Oreochromis niloticus: one gene and its partner. The protein of the gene in region 2 interacts with the protein of the main gene of each other region in a pairwise test. Links are inferred from orthologs where the notes say so. Each region holds a gene or a part of one and is shown on either strand. Other genes may lie near its edges.

Region 1 (4,084 bases), on a different chromosome or scaffold from region 2:
TCTTTGACAACATCTCATCTGATAATGGGCTCAGGTAATCAGCTGACTCCATCTTATATAAAAGATGGTCTTTGTGCAGATATGTGCTCATGGCTATTTATTTACATCAATGGTTTCAGACTGACATGGGCAGAGGAGCGAAAGCGCAATCTGGAGACTTTTGGTGTCCCTGGGCGTTTCCTGAGGGGCCAAGGATTCAGAGGTGGATATGCCAGAAGAGGACGAGGTGCTGCCAGAGTCTAACTCAAAGAAACACAACTGGGCGGCTGTACAGATCAGTTTCATACAAAGGCAGAGTAAAGCCACCTTGAATGATTTAGTACCCTGTTTCTTACAGTGAGTGGAAAGTACTGGATCCCCTGTAAGAATCTTGCCCCCTTTTTTCTTGACAGACCTTTTGAGTTTTAGCACAGTGAAGAAATCACAAGGGCAATAATGAAGGCTGTATTGCATTTGGAAGAGGCGCTATGCTGTGCATGTTGGTTTGCAGTCTGTTTACTGGTATACGTGATGGAACTAAACCATCATTATTACAGCTGTGCTGTAACCAGCCAAAATGTCTGTCATTAAAAAGTTTAACATTATTTCTTTGACATTTGACCTTGTTTTTAATGTGGGTAAAAGTTACTACAAGAGGCTTTTTTTGTTTAAAAGGGGGGAAAAACATGAATGCTTCAGTTTCTACTTTGGTTTGCTACTTGCAGATTTGTAAATTCTTGCATTTGCCTTTTTGGAGTATTAATCAGATTTGTCCATTCAATGTTGCATAGTATTAATATAATGAACTAAACAAGGTTTCAGACTTAAGACTTAATTTGGTATATTCAAGGGAATGAGTTGAATGTAAATAAAATGGATGTGCTGATACACCTGTTATGAGACTAAAAGACATTTTGTTGCACAAGTAAGCATTTAAAAAATTCTTCCGAATTATAAATAATCTGGGATAGTATCTGTGTTCTATGGCTGTTTCTTTGTCCTTTTAAGGAGCACTCCTTTAAACAACGTTAGCAATATATTCAAGATTAGATTATATAAACTGGCAAAAAAAAAAAAAAATTAGTAAATGTCTCACTGAATTACAAGATTACACATTCCCTGATTCAGTGCTGTTGTAAAAATGTGAATGGTGGGATTTCCACATTTCCTGAAATGCTAAAAGCAACTTTGGCTACAGCTGATCCAAGCAGACTGCTTTCTTGAATCAAACGATACCCCGTCTACAGTGAGGGAAAGTGGTAGGCTACTCACTGCCTGGACTATACCAAAATCTGAGGGAGAGGGATTTTTCCCTTACCATCGTATCCTTTTATATGCATGTAATTATTTGCACGCAGATCATAAATATTCGCTTAAGGGAAATCCTCTGTTTAATGCCATCCAGATAAGTCAAGTGTTTTCTAATTTTGCATCTTTCACGACATGGCTCTGGTTTGGTCAGTACCCCTATTCCTGGTAATGGAGAAACTATGTAACCAAATAGAAGGCTGCGCTCGAGATAATAAATATTAGAATAAAAGCGGCTCTTTTATTTCCCATATGACAAAATGTCGGTGGCGTTTTCATCGGCGCGCCCCAGAAGTAAAGGGGAGGTGACACAGCAAACCATTCAAAAGGTAAAAAATCCTAAAACGTCGCGACATTTCTATTTAGATCTTCTAGCATGGGAGTATGTGATCCCCCTCCAGTGCAGAGAAAGTAGCCAGTGGTGAATATCAAAGAAATGGCAACTGGTATTGCAACGTTACAGTCAATTGAAGGTGCGAACCAAACAAAGCCATCGCGGTGATGTAGACGAGCGCTCGGCTTAACGCCGGCTGGATCTCTGCTTTCTTGGTGATGCTGTCTGTCATCCTCGCAGATATTATGAGACGAATGGGAATATTTTAGTGTGAGAAATTGGAAATCCGCTTTATATTTCGTCGCAAGATGGTTAACAAGAATTCTCAAAGCAACAGCTCTGCCCTGGTGTTTAATTAATTAGGCTATAGGTTAAAAGTGAAGGCAGGTGTTACAGTATATGTCCTAGGGCACCGCTTTTATCCTTGATTGAACCGTTTAGCGCGAAAGTAAAACGTAAACCCTATCCTTGAAAGCCAGACTTTCAAACGGCGTCCTAAATAAAGACAGTGAAAAATGAGTTCTTCTTTTGGCTCTGTTATATAAAAAGAAGATGAGAAAGGTGACCCAGAAAAAAAACATTCAAGGGCTGGATAAAGTTCTGAGAATCAAGCACATCACTGTTTTAATAAAGTATTTGTTAGTTAATAATTTACTATACACTTATAGGACTTCAGATACAGTGGAATGAAGTTGTTTTATTATTTTCCAAAGATGCTGGATGAAAATCATCATTTAATACAATGCATAATGGATTACCAAAGCAAAGGCAAGACAGCTGAATGCACACAGTAAGTGTTTTTTTCTTTCCTCCCTGACCGGTACCTGCTAAATATCAAAGTATAGCACAATTAAGACTGGTTTTCTTCTTCTTCTTCCTCCAGGTATCAGCAGATCCTGCACAGAAATCTTGTTTACTTGGCCACAATAGCTGATTCAAATCAGAACATGCAGTCATTACTACCTGCGGTAAGTCTGATTTGTGACTTCAGTAATAGCAACTATCAAATATAAGTATACACTGTGTCCACTGGGAAAATAGAACATTAAAGGAAAACAGAAAATAGATGCATATAAATACAGTGTGAAAAAAATGAACTGCATATCAGTATTTATTTATGACTGCCACTACTTAAATATTACGTCTGTACACCTTTAGCCTCCCACTTCCAGTATGTCTTTGGGTCCTGGAGGGATGGGCCAGAGTGGGGGACATGCTCAAAGCAACCTCAATGACAACATGGGACCAGCACTGCCCGCGACATCAATGATGCAGAGCCAAATGAGTAATGGTGAGAGTTAATTGCATACCTGTGTTTTACAGATAAGCCCTGAATCACTTATTTCAGCCCAAAGATGCCTCCCGATTTTGTTGTCTGTCCAGTGTCTTGCTTGCTCGTCTCATTCTGACTTAGCTGCATGTTTGTCTGCAGACACAGTACCATGTCTTGTCTGCCACAGTGCCCGCACTTCTTTATTGCTTCATTGCCTTCATGTATCTGTGGTTTTAAGTTCAGCCAATGAGTCAGATTGTTTCACAGTTATGTTACTATATTCCCTCTTTTTGTGAAAAAACTATACACACATCCTTAACATGCGTTACTCTAGCTTTGTTCAACCATGCACGTCTCCTGTGAAGATGAACTGAATGTGGGGCCGTGGTTAACATGATATGGCACCACAGGGGAATGTGTGGTGGCTGCTCTGACTGTGCGTGTGTGTTGTCAGGCCCCAGCCATGCCCCCATGCAGCAGCAGTCTGGTCAGGTGCAGTCGGCTATTCCCTCCACCTCCCTCAGCCTGCCAGCAAGCAGCTATGGCAGCTCGGTCCCTGGGTACAGCCACGCTGCACCCTCCTCCCAGGGCAGTATGATCCAGGGCCCTGGGCCTGGTTATGGCTCTTCCTCCTCTTCTTCCTCCACATCCTCATCCTCTTCTTCCTCCTCCCGCAGCAACCTCAACATGCATTCCAACCAAGGTGAGCCAGGTATCGTAAAACCCAGTCATCAAGAATTGGTCTCTAAACCATCATGATCTGATAGTCAGGAGTTACCACCTCTCGAGATGCAAGATGGCATACTTGTTTTTTACTTGTTTATGTGTATTATGCAAGATTTGGCATTTAGAGGATTGGAATGATGATAATAATCTTTTCAAGTTTTCAGGGTGAAATACTGTACATGGTACATCAGTAAAACAGTTGGATGATGACCTCTGAAGCTGTGCCCCTTTCGAGCTTGCATAAAAAATATGCCTGCATGCATATCTTAAACTTTCCTCCTGTGTAACAGACAAATACGAAACACATTCAGTTCATCACTGAGGTGTCCTGCCTCCTTCCTTCTTCCCTTTGCTTCAGGTTTCTCCTAATTTCTGAGATGCACCCCTACTTTCCTTGGATGTCCATGTGTATTTATCGTACTTCTGTTAATGCGCTGACTTTGCTGGCTTTGTTTACACTTAAA
Region 2 (4,084 bases):
TAATCCCACAGTCGTCCTCCTGATGAAAGTGTGTCTGCCCGTTAAAGTCTGAGCATGTTTCCTTTGGCGAGTTGCACAATGTTCTGGTTAAAGAGTGAATAAGAAACACGCCGTCTCTGGTTGAACTTTCACTGCTGCGTTTCATCGGCATTGTGTAAGAAAAAGAAAAGAAGTAAAAGAAAAAAGTGAAGTTAGTCTGCTGTGTGAAAAAATCCTCAGACACCAAATAAATCCTTAAGCGCTGTGTGCTATTCCCTCCATCACACAAGTCCAGAAAGAGATGAGATCGATCAGAGACACCATGTCCAGAGTTTCTCTATCAGGTAAAAAAGTGGTGAAAAACTCCCAGGCTTTCTCTGTGCGATCTCAGTGTAATAAAGCAGCGCTGTGAGAAGGCAGAGCTAATGAAGCCGTGGATGCATTCATCATATTTACAGAAGACTGGGGCTAATCCACTTTATTAATGATTAACAGAAAAACCCTCATCCATCTGTCCATCCATCTACCTTACCTCCCACAGTCAGCTGGCCCTTTATACAGGGTTAAATACACATAAAACATGTGGGTTTAAGTCACACTCATTCAGGTTGCTTCAATTCATCTGATCTTCATTTGTCTGAAAGCTGAATCTTGAAATGAATGTAACTGTGTGGCACTAGCGAGTTTATTTAAAGCTTCTATTCTCAAATAAAAAACAAATCTGCATAAACTTCTAGAGCTGCAGAATATTATTTTTGTTGCTGTATCAGTTGAAGTGTATTTAAGTTTTTTTTATGACCCATTTGTAGGTAAATACAGGTTTTTCCATTAATTAATGCCCTGTACCTAAATACAACAGAACTACCACATGACCATCATTAGTAACATCTGTGTTTACATTTTATTTCATGCTGAAATGGTTGTGGCAGAATAGGTATATTAGTTGCTTTTACATTCCTTTATTTATTTCTGCGTCAATTACAGAACCACAGGCAATAACCCAGACTCAGGAAACACTTAAAGACCGTCAAATTAAAAGCATACATTAGCAAATTTACTGTGAAAACTGAATAGTCGCTTCTTTCTGAAAAACACAACCTCTACAACAACCATGTATCACATGTATATAATCTATATTTACTGGCCACCAAATGTATTGTGCAAAGGTATACCAGATTTTAAGGCAGTATTGCAAACTTAAACTGTGCACGTGATCCAATCTGAGACTTCTAATATTTCAAAACAACTACATTTTCTTTTACAAATTTGTATTTATAAATTGCTGATTATTTTGGGAGATGCAGTTGTACCATATAGAGCAGTTCTTAGTTTGTATGTAAAGTGTAGAGGGTAGCTTAGAAACGCAGCTGAGAACTAAACTGTGAGAATATAGTGGGGAAAAAAAGTGTAAATTACAATCTACTAACAATACAATCACGAATCAATCATATTTTAAAATATCAAAGCCGATAAAAATAACCAAACAACAAAAACAGCTGCAACTATGTAAAATTTGGTAATTTGCTAGATCGTTGCCAAATAATCTTGCTTCATCCTAATCCGTTAATTTATACCACAACACTGACAATAATACAACAAAGGTTAAAAAAACCCATCATGATTAAACACGTCATATTTATTAAATTTATAGTTTTGCTTGTTTTTGTAAGTGTTACTCTAGAAAAATGAAGATATCCTTTAAACTGTTAAGCTTTCAGTCTAAAAGGTATTTTCTTCTTACTTTTTATTGATCTCACTTTTTAAGATGACTTTATTCTTTAGTTACATTGTTTAGTGATGTTCCCACATAGGTAACAATATATATTATATATGTACAGTATATATACTGGTCTACACTGCTTGAGCACTGGAGTAGACACAGTAAGTATGGAACTCGGAGGTCCTCCACCAGCACATATTGACCCTCAGCTATTTCCATAGTTTCTAGTGAATTTTATACCTTTATTCATTTATGATGACAATGCTTGAAATGCTTAGCATGCAGAAGTCATCCAAATAACTGTGGCTATGGATAATGCAAAAATAAACTTGGAGACAACATCATTAGTTACTTCTGTTTATCTGCTCATTGAGACGAATATCTAATCAGCCAGTCACATTGCAGCAACTCAACTCATTTAGGTACAGTATGCAAGAAAGAAAGAAAGTTGATTTCAGTGATTTTGAGTGTGACACGGTTGACGGTTGGTGCCTGACAGGCTGGTCTGAGTATATCAGAAACTGCTGATCTACTGGAATTTGCTCAAACAGACATATCTAGGGTTTACAGAGAATGAATTAAAAGAAAATATTCAGTGAGCGGCAGTTCTCTGGGAGAAAATGACTTGTACATGTAGGAGGTGAGAGGAGATGGATCAGATTGCTGTCAATTGTAACACAGATATCCACTCATTACAGCCAAGGAAGAAGAGCATTCAAAAAACAACTAAAAAACATTCCAAAAAACACACTTATTAAACACACTTATTATGATTTTTGCCCATCTTACTCCTTATTGTAATTATGTTTAGATTTTTATTTACGGAACTCTTTTATTTTATTTGTTGTGTCCTGTTCTTTGTATCCTTCTTTTTTTTTCTAACTCACTGAGTCATTTTATTGAGATTGTCTACTTTATTTAAAATAAGGCCTTTTTAAATCATAGGCTGACCTTCCACATTTTAGGATAAATAAAGTTTTTCTTGTATTATTCATGTAAAAAAGAAGTAGTAGAAGAGCAAAACAAACAAAATAAAACATTACAACATAAATAGTCTCCTCCTGGATTTATTAGGATGGTCACATGTATGCGTTTTAAATACTCGTCGAGATATGTCCCCTCTATTGTTTATATGAGCAAGGAGTTAATGGTACCTGTTGCTTAAAGCATCTCGTACTTCAGGCCGCCATGTTTTTACAGATTTTACCTGGAGCATGAGACAGGCGGCAGCAGCAGGAAATGAGGTCAGCCACGCCACGTGCTCTCGGCTTGGACCGTCCTTACACATCTGAGGCAAGACAGAAGGTAGAAAAACGACTTCAAGGTGAGCCAGGGAACTACAATCACACAGGTGTCACCTGCTGACCAGTAATCTCAGTCATGGAGGGCTCATTAGGGATCACAAACACCACAAAGAAGGCGTTAGACCCAGCTGTGAGGGTAGCTTAGCATAGTTAGCTCTGTGCTACTTCTACTGAAGCTAACTCCTTTTCATGAAACGCTCTGCAGGGTCACTTTCCGTTTACCGAAACGCTTACCCATCCTGCAGGTGTAGGCAAATAACAGTTTGTCAGATTCTGTATTCAATAATTACATTTTTATTAAAGGTTTATTTGCACTACATCGCGAAAATCTAAGCTACCTCGGTATATATGATATTAACCCTCTACAGCAGGGGTGTCGAACTCCAGGCCTCGAGGGCCGGTGTCCTGCAGGTTTTAGATTTCACCCTGTTTCAACACACCTGAATCAAATGATTAGTTCATTACCAGGCCTCTGGAGAACTTTAAGACATGTTGAAGAGGTAATTTAGCCATTTAAATCAGCTGCGTTGGATCAAGGACACATCTAAAACCTGCAGGACACCGGCCCTCGAGGCCTGGAGTTCGACACTTGTGCTCTACAGCATAGCGTTGCCCTGAGGCAACAAACCACATTTTCATGCCTTACACTCGGCCTTCAAAAAAAAAAAACACTTTTTTTTTTTTTTTTCAAATAATGCTACCAGACACATCTCTTTCCAATAAAATGATGAGTTGAAGGTGGTGTGACTTTCATTTGGGGGGGGGAACCACCCTTTCTGCAAGCTGCACTACATGGGAGACATCTCCATTAGGAGGCAAGATAAAGATCACTATTTTACATGTTTATAGTGAAATAAATGTATAATAAAAAATACTTGTATGTGCACGAATATGTTAAGAAGCATATTTGATTGTTCTACTTTTTAAAATTTATTTATACAGTAAAACTGTTATTTTCATTCGTTGCCTCAAGGCAACACTGCGCAGTTAGCCCAATTTTTTTCAGGCAATATAATGCATTTGCATATGTGTGTACAGATGTGTTTGTGTGATGTGTTATATGATCATAGTATAGGTTTTT

What was found. The genes of interacting proteins can lie anywhere in the genome.
Region 1: the proteins of rfx6 (region 2) and calcium-responsive transactivator interact in binary tests that used the Homo sapiens proteins (3 or more experiments, as listed by UniProt). The two-hybrid records come from large-scale screens. The link is inferred for Oreochromis niloticus from reciprocal best matches to the Homo sapiens genes RFX6 and SS18L1.

Annotation. Positions count from the first base shown.
Region 1 is NC_031984.2:13,592,584-13,596,667, forward strand, and holds the start of calcium-responsive transactivator, read left to right. Parts: upstream 1-1,052; 5' UTR 1,053-1,547; coding exon 1,548-1,616; intron 1,617-1,651; exon of another isoform or gene 1,652-1,760; intron 1,761-2,334; coding exon 2,335-2,411; intron 2,412-2,504; coding exon 2,505-2,589; intron 2,590-2,779; coding exon 2,780-2,912; intron 2,913-3,348; coding exon 3,349-3,597; intron 3,598-4,084. Other genes in the region: lsm14b (protein LSM14 homolog B), read left to right, coding at 1-34, 120-243. UniProt on the Homo sapiens protein: Transcriptional activator which is required for calcium-dependent dendritic growth and branching in cortical neurons. Recruits CREB-binding protein (CREBBP) to nuclear bodies.
Region 2 is NC_031980.2:19,731,267-19,735,350, reverse strand, and holds the start of rfx6 (DNA-binding protein RFX6), read right to left. Parts: upstream 2,988-4,084; coding exon 2,854-2,987; intron 135-2,853; coding exon 1-134. Other genes in the region: tdrd15 (tudor domain-containing protein 15), read left to right, coding at 2,939-3,023. UniProt on the Homo sapiens protein: Transcription factor required to direct islet cell differentiation during endocrine pancreas development. Specifically required for the differentiation of 4 of the 5 islet cell types and for the production of insulin.